Linked DNA regions of Coturnix japonica. The main gene of each other region encodes a partner of the protein of the gene in region 2 in a complex. Links are inferred from orthologs where the notes say so. Each region holds a gene or a part of one and is shown on either strand. Other genes may lie near its edges.

The links.
Region 1: the proteins of COP1 (region 2) and TRIB1 are in contact, whole or in part, in a crystal structure (PDB 5IGQ), measured with the Homo sapiens proteins. The link is inferred for Coturnix japonica from reciprocal best matches to the Homo sapiens genes COP1 and TRIB1. Residues at the interface, in NP_071902.2 of Homo sapiens: Ile423, Ser425, Val441, Lys472, Tyr491, Trp517, Asp534, Ala556, Asn557, Cys559, Ala576, Asp577, His578, Lys600, Ala601, Ser603, Thr618, Lys643, Asn644, Phe645, Phe699; in NP_079471.1 of Homo sapiens: Asp355, Gln356, Ile357, Val358, Pro359, Glu360, Tyr361.

Annotation. Positions count from the first base shown.
Region 1 is NC_029517.1:125,152,776-125,159,921, forward strand, and holds the start of TRIB1 (tribbles homolog 1), read left to right. Parts: upstream 1-2,420; 5' UTR 2,421-2,731; coding exon 2,732-3,088; intron 3,089-3,348; coding exon 3,349-3,641; intron 3,642-5,155; coding exon 5,156-5,624; 3' UTR 5,625-7,146. UniProt on the Homo sapiens protein: Adapter protein involved in protein degradation by interacting with COP1 ubiquitin ligase. The COP1-binding motif is masked by autoinhibitory interactions with the protein kinase domain.
Region 2 is NC_029523.1:4,927,717-4,934,418, forward strand, and holds part of COP1 (E3 ubiquitin-protein ligase COP1), read right to left. Parts: intron 3,848-6,702; coding exon 3,733-3,847; intron 351-3,732; coding exon 215-350; intron 1-214. UniProt on the Homo sapiens protein: E3 ubiquitin-protein ligase that mediates ubiquitination and subsequent proteasomal degradation of target proteins.

The DNA.
Region 1 (7,146 bases), on a different chromosome or scaffold from region 2:
AGCGGAGAGCCGCTCATTCACTGCCCGCTTGTGCAATCGGCTTCTGAAGTAAGAATGGGGCTTGAGGTTTAAGACCTGAACCTTCACACATCTCCAAGCAACAGAAGCAGCCTTCATGCTCTAAGGTCTGTAAGGGGACAAAGTCAGGAGGTGCTGCTCATGGGACTCCTTGGATTTGATAACAACGAGCTTGTCAAAAGGGAATTATGTAGATATCCCAGCAACAGACTGGCCTGTGGGAGGGCTCGAGGGGAGGCATCTGAACACCATCACACTACAGTCCCTTTGATGTCATTGCACTCTTGTCACGTGTTTGATATCTCAGCACTGAATCCACCACTGAATGTCGCAGTGTGTAAGGCTGATGGTAGCATTACCGCAGGTGTGATTTCTTGCCCCAAAATGGGACTTTAGTTCTTTATCACCTGAGCACACAACTTGGAGCCTTTTCTGAGCCGGGGGATTCTGTACAGCAGCTCTGCAGCAGACCATGTGTTGGCTGCTGGGTTTACACTGCTGGCATTAAGTCCAGCAGTTGTGTAAATGTCATCAGAGGTCTTGAAATAGCTCTTAATGCGATGGTATTTATTTTTCTGATAGTTTAATATTTGCCTGATAGTTTAATATTCACTCAAGTACTGGTGTGTCATGCATCTTCCGATAACTAACACAATGACTTATTAATTTCTTCCCATAGCAAGCAGCCGGTTTATTTATAAATGGCCCAATCCAACAGGGTCCCTCTGCGTATCCCATGGGATACACTGACAGAAAACCAGACCTGTCCCAGGCACTGGGGAAGTGGGGTGATGGTTACACAATTCCCATTGCTGCTGGCTGCTCCAGTTACAGAGATAAAGGGTCAGAGAAGTGGAGCAGTGGAGACAGATAACTGCGCATCACAGGGCGAGCAGCTGAGCTCGCAGTGCGGGCACTGCCAAACCTAAGACAGATGCTGGAATGCCATGGGAGAAGAATTCCTTAAGTAACACGGGAATGGAACGGCAATGCCCAAAGTCCCCTTAGGGAACACTTAGGTAGTGACAGGACAAGGGCGAATGGCTTTAAATGAACATCACGGAACCACTGAGGTCAGAAATGACCACCAAGCCCCTTGTCCCGTGCTACAAAGATGGAGGCATACGTGGAATGAGGGAGCTGCAGTCAAATATGGAACCTGAAGATCTGATCATGTCTCTTTGCCAGAGTTTCCTAATCCCTCTTACCAGAAACATCCCTCGCTTCACAATCACACCTTATTCATGTCATCAAAATGGATGATATGGGAATATTAAATATTAAAATGTTTTATTATTTACAGATTAATAATATTGTGTATTTTAGGAGGGCTGCTCTGAAGGTCGTGCCTCCTATTTTATAACGGCCCACAGTGTCAGAGGTGGATGCTGGTGATGGGGCAGTAGTGGTTGAGCCTTCCCACCAGTATTCAGTTCTGTGTTGTTGCCATGGGACAGATGGCAGCAGAGGGGCTGAATGGAATCGGACATGGAAGTGCGTGTGAAGCAGAGGTGTGTCACTGAGCAACTCCATGCAGAAAAAACGGCACCCACTGATGTACAATGACACTCAATGAGCGTTTCTGCAGATGGGACTGATCACTGATGGGACTGATCACTAATGGGACGTCACTGATGGGACACATCACTGATGGGACTCATCACTGATGGGACGTCACTGATGGGACGCAGCCTTCCAGGAGAGGAAACACGGAGCAGAAGTGCTGATGGCTCCGTGCGTGCTTTGCCTATAAGGGGAACAAAATACAACAGCGCGTTCCGAGCTGCAGTGAATCGCTCCGAAAAAATCTGCAGGCGTTCTTCGAATTGTTTGGTAAAGGAAAAAAAATATATATATATATATATAAAGGCAAAGAAAGGAAAATGCAGCCCCTGGGATATCCCTTTATGGCAGATGCATTTTGTGTTTAAACGCATTAATGGCTCTGCTATGCCGTGACTCACACAGCAGCACGGTTTCACGCGTTTCTTAAAATACACGTTGAGCGCTGACGGCGGCGCCGGGCGCTGCCTGCGGGAGCGGCACGGGGAAACCTCAGCGCCGAGCGCCTGGGAACGGGCACCGATGTGAACTGAAGAGCCGGCCGTGCGCTAACACTGCGGCTCCCCGCTCCTTGTTCGCTTTGCTGCCCGTTTCTCTCTTGCTTTCCGGCTCCCCGCCCTACAGCTGCCCCTCGCCGGCTGCCGGGGACGCGGTTTCACGGGGGCTGATCGCCCCGAGGAGCCTCGTGGCGACGGAGCCGGGCTCCGCTTTTCGCTTTCGCTCGTGGGAGCAGCGCGGGGCCGCCGGAACTCCGCAACCGGGGTCGGGGTCGGGGTCGTCCCGGAGCGACGGGCGCGGCCGGGAGCATCGCACGGTGCAGCTCGGGGGCACGGCGGGGCGGGCGGACAGCGGGGCGGAGCGGAGCGGGGCCGGGCCGAGCTCCCTCCTCCCACTTCCCCGTGCGTCAGGGCCGGGAGGAGGAGGAGAAAACTGCTTTTTTTTTTTTTTAAAGCCTCCAACTACTTTAGCGCGGAGTCGGCAGCAGATGGTGGACACGGCCCGGGGCTGCGGCGGGGACAGCGAGGGGATGCGCCAGCCGCGCTCCGCCCGCCCTTAGCCCCCGGCCCCGCTTCTTCTTCTCCTTCACCTCGCCCTCCACCATCACCTCTTCCTCCTCTTCTTCCTCTCCCCGCTCCGCTCCGCGCCCCCCATGAGCCGCCCCGCTCCGCCGCCGCCCCGCCGCGCCGCCGCGCTCCTCCTGCCGGCAGCCCGCTGCCGCAGCGCCCCGGCCAAGCGGCTCCAGCCGCTGCACGACGGCCCCGCCGAGGAGGCTCCGGCCGCCAAGTGCCCGCGCCTGGCCGAGTGTCCCGGCGGAACCCCGGACTGCCTGAGCGCCCCCGGCTCGCCCTGCGCGCCCGTCTCGCCCGCAGCCGGCGGAGGAGCGGCGGGGAATGTGGGCACGGCGGGGCCCAGCCTCATCGCCTCGTACCTGCTGCTGCCGCTGGCCGAGCGCGAGCAGGTGTCCCGAGCGCTCAGCGTCAGCTCCGGCCGGGAGCTCCGCTGCAAGGTGAGCGCCGGGCGGTGCGGGCTCGGAGGGGGCTGAGAGGGGACGAAAGGCTTCGGGGCGGTTCGTGCTTTCCGTCGGTTTGGCTTGTGCTCCCCGTCGTCCGTGCGGAACGAACGGCGGAGCCGCGGGGAGGCTCCCGGTGCCGCTCCCGAGCGCGCTGGCGCTCCTCCATTCCCGGCATTGTTTGCAAAGAGTCTCTAGACGCGATTCCGCTCCCAACGCCCTCGAGAACGAACGTTGTGCTCGTTTCCTTTGTGCAGGTGTTCCCTCTCAAACACTACCAGGACAAGATCCGGCCCTACGTCCAGCTGCCCTCGCACTGCAACATCACCGGCGTGGTGGAGGTGATCCTCGGGGACACCAAGGCCTACGTGTTCTTTGAGAAGGACTTTGGGGACATGCACTCCTACGTGCGGAGCTGTAAGAGGCTGAGGGAGGAGGAGGCCGCCCGGCTCTTCCGACAGATCGTGGCGGCCGTCGCTCACTGCCACCAGTCGGCCATCGTGCTCGGAGACCTCAAGCTCAGGAAGTTTGTCTTCTCCAACGAGGAGAGGTGAGCGGCTGTCACCGGGCAGGTGGGGGGAAGCCTGGTTCAGAAGGGCAAAGAGCATCCCAGGAACAGGGTGGACCTGTGCCCCGTGTGTGCAGTGGGGCGCCTGCTGGCTGTGGTTGGGTCTTGGCTGAGGAGCTCTCCATCAGCCTCCCCTCTTCCAGCAGAAGTTCAGTGAGGCAGTCACAGGGAGTCAGTTGGGTCTTGGTGATGATGGATGAGTTTTGGGGTCAAATGGATGAAGGGATGGGATGTGGAGGGAATGAGGGCAGCACGGTGCTGCTCAGCATCTCCGCGTTGGTGGCAGTGCTTCTGCTGCTCCATGGATATGGGCATGCACGGCACAGAGGGCGGTCCATGGTTAAATGTCCTGCAGAGGGGAAAACTGGTAGAACTTAACCTAAAGCCTGAGTTATGGCAAGGTGGTTCCAGCTTCCCCCATCTGCTGGCACGCTGCTGGGATCAGCTTCTAAATCTAGACCGAGGCGAAGCATTCAGTGTCTCCCTGGAGAGCTGGCTGCTCTGTGCACTGCGCTGCACGTGGCAGGGCTGGGAGTGCGGTGTCAGCCCCGGGAACTGACCCTGAGTGGCTGCTGTGCTGTAGGAAGCTCAAAACATGGGCACAGGCTGCAATGGGGTCGTGCTTAATGCGACGAAACGGAAGGAACCGCTGTGTTTGGTTTTCTTTTTTAACTGCTTCTGTGGGATATCGTTTGTGAAGGTGATAAGACGACGAACCAGAACTGCACCTCTTAAACAGAAACAGCCGTATGTTGACATGCAAAGAAAGTAATTCCTTTGAAGGAAACTATTGCAGCTTTTCCCGCCCCTAGTGAGATGAAACATTTGTTGAAATGTTACATTGCACACAGCCCGGCTCGTTTGGAAATTGGCGTTGCACAGGCGAGTGTCATGTGCATTGCGTTTGGCAAGAAGAGGGTTAAGCAATGGCAGGCGGGCGCTGGGGCTCACCAGCACAGGTGCAGTTTCAGTGCTCCCGCGGCCAATCCTGGGCCCACGGTTCGCATTGAGTCACATTTTCCGTTTACAGAACCGATGGGTATTTTGCATTGCAGCGGGAGGTCACGCCGAGGACAGGCTGCAGTTAGCACATCCCTGTGGCACGTGAGCCGTGGCTGCTGGTGGGAAGCTCCCGGTTTGCCACTACCGGGAGCAGGGCACCACCTGGAAAGGCAAAAGGGAGAAAATAGGGATTGAGCAAGCTGGTGAGCGCCGAGAGTGCAGAACAGCCAGGCTTTGTGTTGTGAAAATGAATGCTGGGATGGCAGCAGGAGCCTCGCTGGCGTTCCTCGAGAGCCCAGCATTTGCTGTCGGCCCAGCAAATGAGCGTGCATGTAGCTGCACTTGGGGCTGGGATCAGCATCCCTGGTGCAGATTAGGAAGTTGTCGCCTCTCCTTTGCTAATGCATGGAAGGGAGCGGTGGTCGCTGTGCAGAGCAGTTGGTCTTGCTGCCACATGTCTCTAACCCATGGCTTCTCCTTGTTGCTCCCCACAGGACGCAGCTGAGGCTGGAGAGCCTGGAGGACACGCACATCATCAAGGGCGAGGACGACGCGCTGTCGGATAAACACGGCTGTCCTGCCTACGTCAGCCCCGAGATCCTCAACACAACGGGGACGTACTCGGGGAAGTCAGCCGACGTGTGGAGTTTGGGAGTGATGCTGTACACGCTGCTCGTGGGCCGCTATCCCTTCCATGACTCGGACCCTAGCACCCTGTTTTCCAAAATCCGCCGCGGACAGTTCTGTATTCCTGACCACGTCTCCCCCAAAGCCCGATGCCTCATCCGCAGCCTCCTGCGGCGGGAGCCCTCCGAGAGACTTACAGCCCCGGAGATCCTGCTCCATCCCTGGTTCGAGGCGGTCCTGGAGCCAGGATATACAGACCAGGAGACAGGGACTTCTGATCAGATTGTTCCAGAATACCATGGAGACAATGACGATATCAGTTCCTTCTTCTGCTAACCCTGATATCTCAAGAACCTCGCCATTCTCACCTCTGGCATCTCCGTAGGGTTTGGTTATTTTATTTTTCCACATTACAGACTCAAAGCATCTTAAAGTGCCAGTATGGTCAGAAAAGTGACCTTGTTTCAGATGAACGTCGACCTGCAGATCTCTGCTGTGAGCACACACAGAGGCTCGATGCTCGCCCTGCCGGCAGCATGGTCCTGCTGCCTGGAGGAGCTACATGGTTCTGCTCCTGCCTCCCGAGCCCTATGCCCTTCCTTGCTGTGTTTTGGCTGCAGAGTCTTATTGCTGGCAATGGGAGAGACGCAGAGCCTGCCCTCGGCATCCCCCTTTGCCCCAGGTTGTATGGACGGTGATGTGCAGTGGGTGGAGGGCACAGGGCATTTCTCTAACTGAGCAAATCTGACAAATTAGGTATTTTTGTTTTGTTTTTCCCTTCATTTGTTTTAAAGTTGGGGGAATTGACTCGGTGTCTTGCAAAGCAGTTTTCTGAATGTAAGTGCACTTTAGTGAGGGAAGGAGGTCTTCATCAGCACATCCAGCTGCCTGCTCGTTGCCCCAATCAGCCCTATTTCCATAGGGATGAAGCTATCAGATCCTCCCCTAAGAGAGATCCCTGCTGTGATCACTGCCGGGACCCTTCTGACATGGTTGTGGTCGGGGGAGGGGGATGTAGCTGATCTCCAGCTGGATCCCCTCCGATGCCATTTGCTGAATGCAGAACCATTTCAAATAGCCTTCAGCCTCAAGTTACCGCGGTGTGTCCTGTGCGACTTCATGCCCTCAGCAGGCTGGTCAGGCAGCGGGTCTCAGCTCCCAGTGCCAAAACGTATCCGTTTCCCCAAGCATAACACTATCAGGAGGGCACCTTCCCTTGGACAGCAGAAAGGGGCATCTTGTACAGTATATGTAAACATGTTCGCGTCTTCCTACAGGCTCAGTTCTTCTTCCCCCCCTTGCTCCTAGAAAGTCAGTCTTAAGAATAAAATCTCTATACGCCCTTAAGTTGATTATTCAGGTATGTCGTTGGCCTGTGCCTACCTTTGGATTTGTTTTTTTTTCCCCCCCTTAAATTTTGTTCTTTTGTTTTGCATGATTATTCATAGTCTTTCCAGTGTGTGTGGATAACAAACAGACCTGGATCATTAGCTCCCCAGGCTGGGGGTAAGTAAAGCTTAGCCCTGCCTCAGATTCCTCTATTCCAAACCTTGTGCCCAGTGGCTCACACAGAGATGGCCATCTGCATTAGAGAGAGCACAGTGCCCGATGGATGTGAGGTGGGCAATGGGGTCATCCCTGGGGTGGTCTGGCATTGAGCTGCCTGCGCGTTGCGGGAATACCATGTATACCTCATGGACTGTGTACTTTGTACATACCTTACGTGTGGGGGGGTCGTTTTGTTGTTGTTGGGCTTTTTTATGTTTCGTTCCATTGTACTTTGTCCTAATAAGAGGTGTCAAAGAGCAATTTAATGTGAATTATTGTTGGCAATACTAACTTGACAGAATCATGAGCA
Region 2 (6,702 bases):
TTCTAATCTATATCAGCTGGCAGAAAAGGTACTACTGTGACTCTTAAGCACATTCACAGACCGATGATAACCACATGTTCATCACAAAATTATTTTGGTGTAGCCAAAGTGTTACACATGTATTAAACAAATTATGATCTGTACAAGCAATGAGCTCTGCCTCAGCAGCCTGTATCACCACGAAATGCACTGCTAGAGCCACCAAATTTCTCACCTGGAGACTATGCTGGAGCCATTGTAGAGGTCACTAGCATAGGACAGCGTTGCCAGGGGCCGGACAGAATTGTAGCGTGTGAACTTGGATAGACACTCCTGAAACTCATCCAGCTGGCTTGTGGTTCTGCTGTCATCTAGGGAGAGGTGGAAGAGTTGCAGAGGGTGAAAAATGAATAAGAAAGTAAATAAACACAACGGCAAACATGATGCGTGTCTTCATGTGTTACCACCTCTGCTTGCTATTTGGGGAGGATTCTTGGTCAAAAATAGGTTCTCTCTTTCATCTTTTTGGCATTCCCTCAAGGCAGCAGGATTTTCAGAGCATAAATTAAGTCCTTCCAATGAACCTACTGCATTGAGAATCTGCCTAGAGATCATAAATACGCTTTCCTGATAGATGAGCTCACTTATTTTAGTCAAATTCAAAGCCTACGGGCCATAAGGTTTATTAACAGAAAAGCCTTAAGCACATCAAATTGCACTGTAAAGAATGTCTAGCATTCTATGGAAGTGAAAAATATATTCCTTTCCCCCAGAACTGTACTTCAGGTACAATATGCCTACATTTGGTGTCAATTACACTCAAAAAACTTGTAGCAAGAAGTATTTCTCTTGTTACTCCAAAAGCAACAGAGCTGAGGGAGAGCTGTTTCACGGCTAGAGAAAGGAGACAAGCATGAAACCAACAGACTCCATGTGCTGTAAGTTTTGTGAAATTATGACCTTCAGCAGACAAGATGAAATTCAGCCAGCGTGAATAATAATGATGAATATTCTGTGGAAAATGGAACAGTTCGCTACAAACGTTAAAAGTAAATTACAGTACAGAGGGCTAAAAATGATTCCCCGAAACCTCACGAGTCTTAACTTTCTTCGGTACTAAAGGAATTTTATTTCAACCATTTCAAAATTTAGAGTTTCCTATATAAGGAAGAATTCCTAACTTACAGCCATGTCTCATGGACGAGCCAGCTTTCCTAATGTGATCAAGCAACGGCAGTCAAACATCAGGCAGAGCCCTCAGGCTTTGTAGCAACCCCCAGAATCTGCAGCAATTCCCCCTTGCCTTCCTTGCAGCTCTGACATGCAGCACCCTGGATTGCAGGTAGTCCAGTATGCAAGTCACATTACTGAATACTTTGCCTTTTATTAAACCACAGCACCCACTGCAGCAGCAGAAAGGTACACATCATTTGCCTGTGCAGCCGAGGTCGCTAATTTACACCACAGTTAAGCTTCCCTTATCAATAGCGTAAGAAAGTGATATAACTCAACTTACTGGAAGTCTTTGGAAACACTGGGGTGAAAAAAGGAGAAAAATTGCAATAGTTATTTCTAACATTTCTGCACCATGGTAATTCCTTGTCATCAGAAATTATCTTGCTTTGTAACCATAGGGCATTTTGAAGTGTCCCCTGCAAGCTGTTTCATGTTTGATTGCATAAAGAAACAGCAAAGTTCAGTAATAAGCGTGTTTTAGGGTACAGCCATGGGTACATTACTCATGTCAGATAGATCAGAATGAACAAAGCACTGCTTTAAATTAAACCCTCAGCACCTGACCACTAAAGAAAACAACTCGAGAGGCAGCACATAAACATCAGTAAGTATTTTTCAAAGACCGATTCCTCCTTTGACACTTTAATAGGAGCAAATAGCTGCTGCTCTTCCATTTCCCTCATTTAGAGATCAAGCACACAGTCCTCCTGTAATTTATTCTGCATCTATGTCTGCAAAACGGGATGTTATTTCTCAAGACATTTTCCTCGTCAAAGCACGAGGCCATTTCATAATTCCAGCTGTATTACTGCTCTGCTCCTTACTAGAAGATTTTCAGGCATCTCTTGCAAATAAACCCCTTATATCCATATTAAATCCTATTTAAAATGTGTCAAAAAGCAGGAATGACTTTGAAGAGAAGAAAATCTAATTAAGCATTACAGGTTATCCCTTATTTAGGGCAAAAACAGCCGTAGCAAATCCTCTACTTTTGGTGCAGCTGACATACACATAAACAAAATGCACAATTGCACCGCATTCATATTTATAGTTCCAATTATGAAGAAAAATGTCTTCAACAAGGGAATGCTGGGAAAAGTCCAATTTGTTATCCTTAGCTAATAAACGTATTATTTTAACAAAAACACAGCTCCGTATCACCAAGATAGCACACATGGAAATATCTGTGCTAATCTGTGAAGTACTGCAGCCTGCAGAACATTACAAGCACCTCACAGGAGTTTGGCTGGTCACACACAACTACCTTCTCCCATCATCTTGCAGCCCATCATGCCACAAATTGTTAGAACTGTGTTGCTGGGCATGACAGGACCCAAGTCAGCCACTGCTCCCAAACAGACATGCCCGCATCTTCCATCCAAGAGTGAGCTCTCCTACAACACTTGGCAGTCTTTGAACATAAAAAGGCCACATTTTTTTTTGTTTATTAGTAATAGTTTTCAAAAGCTGGAAAATGTTTAGGCAGCCAAACCTCAAATTAACAGAGGAGCAGGGATTTGTGACCCAGCTTGCTTGCTGATCTGTATCCTGGCATGCTAGTCCTTGCCTTCCAAGGTTATAAGCAAAGATGCTCTGCTGCAGCAGCCCCTGCCTGCATTATTTTTGTGCTTCTGAGGCTCCCCTCAACCTGCTCTTTGCTGCATTCTCTCCCTCTTTGTATAAGCTGCTGCTCACAGCTTGGTGCTGCACATCTCTTGCCTGCCACAGCCCATTGCACTAAACTTCTTTTCCCCAAAGCTTGCTTGTTCCCCATGAGAGCCAGAGAGCGACCTTCCTCTCCCTTAAGAGGCATCCGTTTGACCTGTTCGCTTCCAAAGAGAATATCGTTATATAATTAAGAACCATCCATCCACCATGTAACAATTACTCTAGCTGCTGCCACACTGTTACTCAATTATGAATGAGGCAATCCAGGCAATTGTGAAAACAGCTTCTAATTCTACAAAACAAGTCTTAAATCTAAGGTGTGCCCCATGGGATAATGATGCTGCTGCACACTCAGCTTCTGTACTTGAAGCCATTTGTTAACCAAGACTCACAATCTGGACAACAAAGGATAACCTCCAAGTGTTGTACCGCACATTAAATATAGTAACATTTATCAACGTGTTTTCACCTCTTTAGTATTTTGATAAGTGTTTTAATGACTGTGCTTTTTCCACATCTAGAAGAAAAACTACCCAGCCACCGCAGCTTCAGAACAAAGATTAGAGAAAAACTATTTAGTGGTTACGACCTTCATAGTACAGCATTACAGAGCAACATATGTGGTGCTCTGAAACAATAGTATTATACTTTATAAGCTTAAAAACCTCAAAGACTGGTCATGAAAAATCTCCACAAGGTGACTTGAAGAAATATATGCATATGTATAGCAGTGTTTCTCAAGGCAGGGAAAAACAAAGGCTTGTCTCTTAAAAGTGAAGCTTTCCTGAGAAGCGGGACTGTGAGAAGTAAATGATGTCAAAAGCTGAACACCAAGCAGGAGGAACTCACCTGAGACACGTGTCATCCTTGTGGAAAAATAGCACTGCTCCAGGTCCTCAAAGTGAGCTGTGAGCCGCTTCCGTCGTGAGGCGAGCGTGCTGTTATACCACGGCTGCTTTTTGGCCTGAATGGAGAAAATGCTTCTTGAGAGAGGAAAAGACAAGTCTGGGCTTTATTTCAATAGATTCTAAGAAACTGAAATACAATTTATTCACTGTATCATCTGGTGAGTCAGAATTTCACAGTGACAATGAAGAATATCTATCCACTCATGACTAGGGCCTTGCATTGCACCTTCTAACCTGAGAAGCAAAAAAGCTGCTTTTAGATGGCAGTCTTCTCAATCTCTGCAAGCTCAGCTTTACACACAGGACAGATGGCAGCAACCCATGGGGAGCCATGCATCGCATTTGTGCAGATAGACAGCAGAGGCCCAACATACAGCCTTTCAACTTCCCAAATCAAATGGACTGTACAAGAATCACTTCCTAGATCTCTAGCAAACCACTCATAAAGAGTAGGGGCTGTTTAAGGAGTCAGTGAATTATTCCTTCTGAAGTAACTCAGTACCTATAAAAGTAAACAAGTGAGGAAAGAAGCAGGAATACACTAAGAGACTAAGTTCAAAGGTTAATTGAAAATAAGTCCATGAAACACAAAAAACCACCACTTCCCAACCCACACAGGCATCAATGCTGAGGGAGAAGGACTGAAACTACATAAGCAAGCTCTCCCTTAGAAAACAAATGGAAAACAAAGTACTTCTTGTTTCAATCACTAGTGAAAGGAACAAATTATTGCACAAGGAGCATGAAGAGCATCTCGCTTCTGTTTGTGTTTCAAAAGTCTCACACATCACTCAGAGATAATGGGGGAATTTTAAAAGAACCAACAGGCTCCGCAATGAGCATTTCTTAGGGCACAATACTCCTGAACACACACAAGGTGTACAACGCCTCTCAAGCACTAACAAAACCCACATGCCACGAAGAACACAGGTTCAACTCCCCCTCAAATCATGAGGCAGAATGGGGCTGCTCTCATTGCAAATGTCAAGAAGCCAACAAGAATAAACAAAGTTTAGAGCCTACTTTGAGATTCTGCTTGTAACTGTACAAACAGTAACTTAACGCTCAAGGGAAGAAACATACCCCGAGCAATGAAACTTCCAGATGCCACTTCCTGTGCGAGGCCCCTGGCTATGTGCTGACATTGCGACTCATAGCTCGACAGCTTGTTTCATCTTGAAAGCGGCTCCAATCTCAGAACACATCTCCAGTGCTGGAAAGCACTCCTACCTCAACAACTTTTGAATACAATTTTCAAAAGCTTCACAGCTTAAAGAGAGAGGTGATGGAACATTTTACAGCACCACTCCCCTAATTTTGCACCCCAGCCTCTCTCTGCACATCAGAAGTGATGAGGGCTCAAAGTGACTCAAGCACCAAGGAGCAATCACTTGTTAAGACAAACAAACCTGTGACACAATGAGGGATACAAGCCATGCCTGGCTCTGATCTGCTGGTTGTGTCTAGTCCACGTGGAGGTAAGCATCAGTGATTTGAAGTACAATACATCAGCAGAGGACAACTCCTCCCTCCATGCAGCCTCAGACTGGCACCTGGTGACCCAGCTGTGCTGGGAACTGGACTGCACCTTGTGCTAAGCCTCAGCAGCAAGAGGTTTAAAGCTGCTTGAGTTTTTAATCAAAACATTTACTGAGCTTCTAAGCAGAGAAGACTGCTTGATGGCTAGTTGTTAAGCAACACTAGGAAACAGGAGTGGAAAAAAATAAGGCCATAGGAGAGAAAACACACCCAAGTGCCTTTCATTCAACCGCTCACTATAATATGAAAATGCTATCAGTGTTGTTCCAGTTGAGAACGATAGTTAGGGTTACTCTTAGCAAGAATTATTCTTCTGTCTGAAGTCCAGTAGGCGCCCTAAAGAGTCCTCTCAAACAACTGTGGGAAACCTTCACAGCTGCTCACAAGCTCCTCATTTCCAGCAGAAAAGCCAAGTGCTGCAACTAAACACTACCTGCAGAGCTCCCCAGTGCCTATGCAACTTGTCCACTGTTTTCTACTGAAGCTCAGCCTCTGCAAGAAAATTGTCCTATGGCTCAGGGCACATGAATTCTTCCTTAAGAACACATTTGCAAGCAGTGCAAAAAGTAATCGCACTGTGAAAGCAAGCTATGCTGTCCCTTCTAGTTTAGTTACACACTGCCAGCTGTAAAAATCTATGATTTCTGTTGTGACTGACAATTTAAAGTGTGCAACTGCATTTAAATTCTTAGAAATGTTCTTACTGTAGAAAAACTTTTAGCTGTGAAGTCGCGTTGAAATGAGACTACCCTTTGAATGAAATGTTTAAGACTCCTCTCTCCGCTCTCCATCCAAACATGCATTAAAGTTTGATTAGTAAATTTGCACTAGAGAGTATAGAACCTGCACTGTCAAGGACAAAGAAATTGGATTGGAGGACAAAAAGAATAATCTCAAACAAATCTGACTGTCATACAGGCTGACTAGAAAATCTAGGTTGTTTGTTCTGTGCAGTACAGCTATGGTGTTTTTTTTCCCCATTTCAAAGGAAAAATTAAAGTACCAAGACAAGCAACGTCAGTAGGGAACAAACACGATACCGTATCAGTCCTGAACTTAAAATCCCCATGAACATTTCATGTGCCCTTTACAGTAAGGTAGAGCTGCAACATTTTGCTTAAGCAAAAACCCCACAGACTGCAGCAGAAGGAATAACAAGCTTTCTTATACAGATGGAGAAAAATTTCTCATTACTAATAAGTTATACAGCTGCAAACAGTGATCTGCATATGCACTCAAGCTCAAAATGTAGGTGCTTTTTCTTGATGTCAGTTACTTGATCAAATAAAATCCAGCAGCACTTCCACCAGTTCATTTGCCAGTTCCTGAATATTTCTAGTGGCAGCACACAGAGCTCCTAAGACACAAGTTA